2 linked regions of the Saccharomyces cerevisiae S288C genome follow. The protein of the gene in region 2 interacts with the protein of the main gene of each other region in a biochemical or structural test. Each region holds a gene or a part of one and is shown on either strand. Other genes may lie near its edges. The genes, in order: IKS1 and NCB2.

The links.
Region 1: the proteins of NCB2 (region 2) and IKS1 form a complex in vitro, tested with the Saccharomyces cerevisiae proteins (one large-scale study listed by BioGRID).

The regions. Positions count from the first base shown.
Region 1 is NC_001142.9:327,339-331,749, forward strand, and holds IKS1 (protein kinase IKS1), read right to left. Parts: upstream 2,784-4,411; coding exon 780-2,783; downstream 1-779. Other genes in the region: BIT61 (Bit61p), read right to left, coding at 1-535; ZAP1 (Zap1p), read right to left, coding at 3,093-4,411.
Region 2 is NC_001136.10:1,265,737-1,268,810, reverse strand, and holds NCB2 (negative cofactor 2 transcription regulator complex subunit NCB2), read left to right. Parts: upstream 1-1,912; coding exon 1,913-1,949; intron 1,950-2,041; coding exon 2,042-2,445; downstream 2,446-3,074. Other genes in the region: UTP5 (Utp5p), read right to left, coding at 1-1,340; SXM1 (Sxm1p), read right to left, coding at 2,653-3,074. UniProt on the Saccharomyces cerevisiae protein: Component of the NC2 complex which represses RNA polymerase II transcription through binding to SPT15/TBP and thereby inhibiting the assembly of the preinitiation complex.

The sequences.
Region 1 (4,411 bases), on a different chromosome or scaffold from region 2:
ATGAAATGGTCGTATGTGCTCTGTTTCTCCTATTAAAAAAGCCAGAAGCCTTTCCTTTCATATACCTGCCGGAGGGCGTGGAGTGTAAACTTTTCTGAGTAATGGATATTGCATCAGAAGATAACTTTTTAGATAGATTGTTCGAGCACTCCACCGTGTCAACGCTATGAGATTCCCCTATCTGAGAAGAACCAGATTTAGATGTTGCAGCTGAGGCATTGTCATTGCTCCTCAAGGAATGATTTGAGGCCACACTGACCTTCGATCGAGGATGATCTACTGTATGGAATATGGATTGGAAGCCAACGTTAGAAACACTAGGGCTAATGGGGTTCCTCGAGCCCTTCAAATTCTTGATGGAATAAACGTCATCATTTGATGTGTCTACAAGAGTTTGCCGGCTAATCTCGCTTGTAGTCTGAAAATTTTTTACTGGGGCTGTGGCTAATTGCACATTAAGGTATTGTTCGCTATTGACAGGGCGTTGTGTCGTAGTAGATGTTCTTTCTCGAAGGAGTATATCTTCTGCTGTCATAATGAAAGAACTTTATTTCTACAGAGGTCAATTGGCGTTTCTGTCACCTAGATCTTTTCATTTGGTTATTCCCTCTATAAATTTACTCATCGGTCAATTTTTCTAACATTATGCACCTTTGTCACCGGCCCTTAGAAGAGGTGAAGATGATTCGTGAACATTGGTGATAAGCGAGAATATTTTCTATAAATTTGTAAAGTAAAAATAAATTACGTGCTATTTAGTTTGCAATGTGTACTTATTGTTAGTATATGTATTTTTTGCATGCGGCGATGAAGGCCAGTAAAACCAACGCTCTTGCATGCTTACCTCTTTCATCAGCTGGTGATTTAAAAACCATTCCCAACAATATCAGTGACATATAAGAGAGCCACGACCCCGTTTTGGTACACTTAAATATGATTATCGTTAATATCATAGAAACTAGTTTGTAACAAACCTGGATTGTTCTATTTAAAGCAGAATACTTTTGGAGGTTTTGGGTTGATACGGTGCTCAAATTTTCCTCTGGTGCTGGTAATGATAAAGTAACGTTGTCTCCGTCAATATAATCATCAGTAAAACTGTTGGTATTCTCATTCACTTCCGAGATTGTACTGAAGTTCAAAGTGCTATCCACATTTTCTTTCCAGAATTTTTTGCCGGGTTTGGAATTTATTAGCATTTCATCTAACGTCTCCTCCACTGTCTTCGCTGTGGGTCTAGCATCATTATTTGGTTGTAAAAGAGCGTCCATTAGGTGAAATATTCTACGGTCTATTGGTTTCAATTTCATCGCTTGATGCTTTTCAATCATACCTTCAGTGTCGAACCTAAAATTTTTGATGCGTACCTTCAAATCAACTATATCCAACTGTGGTTCAAAGGGCAATTCACCGAAGACAATAAAATAGCAAATCATTCCTAGAGAATACATATCGGAAGCAAAGGTGTATTCATTGTATGTGTGACTCGATCTTGAAGGCAACGTAGAAGAAGAAACTGGTCTCCCCTGGATAATAAGGTCTGGTGCTGTAAACTCTAATGTTCCTGTGCAACCAGTACCCAATCTGGACTCTCCTTCCAACTGACTTTCCCCCAAATCGCCAATAACAATTGATGGGAAAAACTCATCTGAATTGTGTTCCCTGTCGTATACGTTGTCATTCTCATTGTCACTTTTAAATGGAGTCAATAATAAACAGTTGGATGGTTTCAAGTCCCTATGTATTAGGCCAATACTGTGCAGTTCGTGTAAACCTCTTGCAATATCCCTTATAATGGATACGAGCTGTTCCGTAGATAGGCCAACTTCTCCTGATTTACCGTGATTTTTCTTGCGAGTTCTAAATTTTTTTTTCCTCTCTTCAGGTGATTCGGTATCTGAGAACCTATTGAACACTTTTCTTAGAATACAGTCTTCTAAATTGCCGCCACTGCAATACTGTTGTAAAATGAAAATACAAGGAACTTCTTCTTGTGAATCCGATTGGCTCCCATCAATGGATCTGACAAATCCAACCGAAGAATCCATTTCGAGCCACACATGATTATACGTAATCAAATTGGCACTTTTGTGAGTTAGCGAACTCAACGCTTTCACTTCCCGTATGCACTTATTAAACCATTCCATATCATTTCCAATAGGTATTTTTTTTAGTGCAAAAACACCTAATTCAGTATTACCAATTGTGTGTACAACTTTGTAAACAGAACCTCTTGCACCATTTCCCAGCAAAGACAATATTTTGAAAAATTTACGAAAGTATCCGGGGATAAACAAATCATCTGGAATAAAGTATTTGTTTTTGCTGAACTGTCCCTGCTTATTGTTACTATCGTTTTGTAGGGCGTAGTGCCGATGATTTCTTTCCAATGACTGAAAATATCTTCTTGAAAAGCTTGAATTGGCAAATTCAAATCCAAGTGGCACAGTGTTCTCTGGAATACTGAGCCTACTGCTTTCTGATTCTACTCCAGCAGAGGCTCGACGATGAAGTTGTCTTCTGTTTATAATATCAGGGTTAATTTCCGTACCACATTGCGGGCACACATAGGAAGCAATAGGGCTTTTGTATTGATGAATCCCTGAAGGAAAGTCCAGTGCTGATAAAGATGCAGTCTGGTCTTCATTTAGTTCAGAGTCATTATTACTGTTGTCCTGTTGGAAAAATGATAAAGTTCCTGAGGTTGGATTAACAACCACCACTGATTTAGAATTAGGATCATCTAAAATCAGCGAACCTTCTTCATATGGTACTAAACTCATTTCTAAGTTCTACTTATGCTATCCCTCAAACTATATATCTAATAGTGTTTCTTCGGTTACCTAGTTGTCACTCATAGGATCTATATATACAATGTCCTTCCCCCCCACCCCCTTTTCTGAAACGTATACAAAAAATAAAGCTTGAAATACGTTATTACGTAAAAAAAGTGTACTGTAAAAGCTTACAAAAAAGAGTTTGCGAAAAATTATAAATAAAAAGTAGTCTAGGTAAAATATGAAATGTTTCTAATTATGCATTTATGTGATCCTGAAAACCGCCCTTCTTACGTTGGACCATGATGATCACATTTATAAATATGGTTTTCTTTCCAATGCGCATTTCACTTTCTGTGAGTTCAATTTTCCCAAATCGTCAAAGCTTTTGGAACAGTCAGAGCACTTGTATTTTTTCTGATGGGTCTTAATATGTTTGCTCAAATTTGACGATTCGTTGAATCTCTTACCACAAATCTTGCATTGTAAAGGTTTTTCACCAGTATGGGTTCTTATATGAATCTTCAAAGAACTTGAAATCGCGAATTTTTTATTACAAATGTGACATTTGTAAGGTTTTTCGCCAGAGTGTGTCCTGGTATGCTGAACTAAAGTTTCTTCGCTTGAAAAACACCTTTTACATGTCTTGCACTTATAAGGTTTGTATTTCGAATGCACTTTTAAATGACGGATTAATTTTTGTCTTTGGGGGAACGTACGATGGCAGTCATGCCACAAGCATTGGTATTCAGACTTACCCCGGGTTAAATGTACTGCTTCTAAATGGTCGTTTAATTCCTGAGCACTGGAAAATGACTTATTGCAACCATCCCATTGGCAAATCACCTGTTCCGGCTGCTTGATTGGCGGTATATTGGAAACATCATTTGCAGACGTCATATCAGGTGCTCCATCTGCTTTAGAAACTTCGTGTGTTTGTGGGTTGGGGCAATGTAGTAAGTGATGTTTTTCCTTTGATATACTACCAGGCAAAAATGAGTCTGGGTTGGCAAATTGAATATCAAAATTGATACCATGTTGACAATTAATATGGTTCACTATGGAACATGTATCATCTCCAAGGAAATCACAGTCCTCCCAATTACAAGCTAATGGTTCCATAGGGTGTTTGAAATCTTGAGAGACATGATCCTTCAAAAGATGTCTTTGTAGGTCAAATAGTGAGCTACAAGACTCAGGACATTCTTTCCATTTGCATTTTAAGTCATTGTTTTTCTCTTCTTTAAAACACCAGTTGAAATTTATAGTGCTTGTTGTCTGTATAGGAGGAGAGATGCTAGAAGGTAATGAGTCTTCCAAAGAGCTGAAATCAGTAGATTCTAGATCTTTTGTAGGCCAAGATCTACGATTTTTCTGATTCTGATGAGTGACTTTGGGTAGCGAAGGGGGCTCACTTTGATTTCTAAATCTTTCATAACTATACTCTCTTGAAATTAAGTCATTTAAATCGTTGTTAGTTAGATCGGCTGTTGTGTTCGCCGCGCTAATCCCTGAATTGTTCACAATATTGTTTCTATTTGGTTTGTGAGAATGAAACTGTATTCTATGGTGATGGTGTTGATGATCAGTTGAAGTTGCTCCAGCCGTATTGTTATTGCTTCCATTAAGATTAT
Region 2 (3,074 bases):
GATTGTAGTGCTTGCGACAGAATTACTGTTACCGTCCCGGTTGTCGTAGCAGTCTTGAGATTGGAACCTTTTAAATTTGTTTTTTTCCCACTAATCCTTGCGACGGTGCTTGATTCTAGCTTATCACCAAATGTTTCTGTTAATAGTTCATTGGCCTGTGGGGGCTTGGCCTGTTCTTGTTCCAAAGAAGTCAATTCTCTTTCCCAGCTCTTTATAGCGTCATCAACATGCTTGAAGTTATCTCCAGAGGTGACTCTTGCATTACCTTCCACGTAGTTGGTGGCTGAGGCAAGATCTTTACCGTGTAGATCGCGATCGGCGGACTTATTTTTATTATTCCAATTTAGGGAAATTTCGACGGTATATTCATTAGGGATTTCTCTCCACTGCAAGTTCTTGAAGTAAGGCATAGTAGCATTTTGTAACCACGATACGTTCAAAAGGTCTTTATTAATAAATGCGTTATAAATTGGAACTTTCCTGCCGTCTTTACTGACGATTTGAATCTTTTTGCTGGATTTTTTGGACTTGTTGCCTCTTTTCTTTGTTGAACTCGATACCAATGGATCAACAAAAATTTCCAAGCTACCATCCTCGGTAGTGACTGCGATAGAATCGGCTTGGCCTGAATGAGATAACTCCTTGATATCTGATTCAGCCACAAGGACGCATTTGGTCATACCGGAATGAATATCATATACGTTCAAGAATCTATCACCCTCTGCGCCTGATATGAAAAATTCATTAGTTATAACTTGCAATGTGGACACTGGAGATACATGACCGGGAAATGTCATTACGACTTTTTTCTCTTCGATGTCTATTAAAGAAATGGAATGGGATGCAACCAAAAGTTGTGCAACAGAATCGCCTGCTGGAACAATGGTTAGTTTATTCAATTGAACGCAGTTGTTTATTCTAAAATGTTGTAACAGTTTGAATTGTAACAGATCGAACTGATAGAATGCGTCGCTGGAGTCGATACACCACAGTTGATTACCCATCAAGTCTATGTCTTTGATTTCGTAAGAATTCCCCGTAGTGAATTTATAGGTGACTTCGTTGGCCAATACGGAATATAGCCAAATTTCACCGTTATTCATACCCAATATAATAGCCACTGTGTCGGAAGAAGCCAGGTTTACCCATTTTAAGCACGTCACCTTCAATTTCGAGTCCTCTAAATACAGAAAATTCTCATTCCACACTGTATCAACTCCGGAGGAAGTGGCCCTTTGAGTGGGCTGTACACCAACGCGTTGCTTGTCCAAAGCTACAGTGACATAACACAAATACTGACCTGATGGGTCATAAGCGGACTGTAGAACAGGAGAATCCATCGGTAATGAACAATTATAAGGCAAATGTGTCTTTTACCCTCTTGCTAAGCCAAGTTTAAACTATATATGCTCTGCATCTATCTTTACATACATATATCCTATCCAATACTTGTTAATTTTTTCACCTCATCGCTTCAGCTGCGAAAGATTAGAAAAAGAAATGAAAAAAAATTGGATAAAATTTTTTTGTCAAGAAGCTCATCCCCGTGTTAAATGACAATCAAAGAATAAGGGGAACTGTACAACACGTTCAACCAAAACTATTGTAAAGAAATGCCACCACTATGCAGCATAGCCTGTTCATGCGAATAGTCGCCGCAAAAATTACGATCTGGTTTAATCAGCTCGGGCTCTTATCTTTGGCGTATTCCAGTATGTGCAATTAACTCTTGCACCACTTTAAAACGCCCAGCCCGCTGCACTCTCCCTCCTATATAAATGGAAGCGGTTTTTGGTCGCGCTTTTCGCCCTCTGCTCGCCTTGTCGATTTCTATCGTGCAGAGTTACCAGTATAAGGTGGGCAAGAAATCATAACGATATTTACTAATACAGTTGTACCTATTAATTAATTGATGGCTGGAGACTCCGATAATGTGTCGCTTCCCAAGGGTATGTTAGTTATATTGTTGTTGCAAAACTCAAGCTTTGATGCGGGTACTGAGCGGTTATACTAACTTAGAGAAAACACTGAATGATCTTAGCGACCGTACAAAAGATGATATCTGAAATACTGGACCAGGATTTGATGTTTACCAAGGATGCAAGAGAAATCATCATCAACTCCGGCATAGAATTCATAATGATCCTGTCCTCGATGGCTTCCGAAATGGCGGACAACGAGGCTAAGAAAACCATAGCGCCCGAGCACGTGATCAAAGCGCTAGAAGAGTTGGAGTATAATGAGTTTATACCATTCTTAGAGGAAATATTATTGAATTTTAAGGGTTCCCAGAAGGTGAAAGAAACTAGGGATTCCAAGTTCAAGAAGTCAGGTCTCTCGGAAGAAGAGCTGCTACGACAACAAGAGGAGTTGTTTAGACAGTCAAGGTCCAGATTACACCACAATAGTGTATCTGATCCGGTTAAGTCGGAGGATTCTTCTTGAATAGAAGCTTCTAAACAAAGTAATGCTATATACGAAAATAAACCACATGGGAATATGTTAAGCGCATGCATGTATGTAATAAAAACGAAGACAAGTCCAAAAAAAAAAAAGAACGAAAAAGAAACAACTTTTATATTTGTATATTAGAGTATAAACTAATATCCTTATTTCAAACTATCACATTCCACTATTTTTTTTGTGTTCTCCTCAGTGTTGAGAAACAAATTCCAGAATTACCTGCAAGGAATCTCTCTTAGATTCATCCAGATAATTTATGATTTTTTCGTACTTACCGGCATCTTCGTTTTGCAAATTCTTGAAAAAGGTATGTACTTCCTGGAAAACATTAATTTGGTCTAACACTGTCTCCTTCATATCATCATCACATTCGATAAAGTATTCTTCTTCTTCTTCTGGGGTCAGGTCTCCTTCTAAGGATTTGCCCTCGGTAACAGCATCACGGTTTCTAATTGCCTTTGGCAATGATAATGTCAATTCCACCAGTTTATTGGTCAGGTTATTTAGTAGTGGGCTGACACTATTAGGAACTTCAGGCATCTTCAAAAGGGTTAAAATGACCAGGACTTGTAATTTGATGGCGAAGACACTGTAGAACTTTTCATTAAACC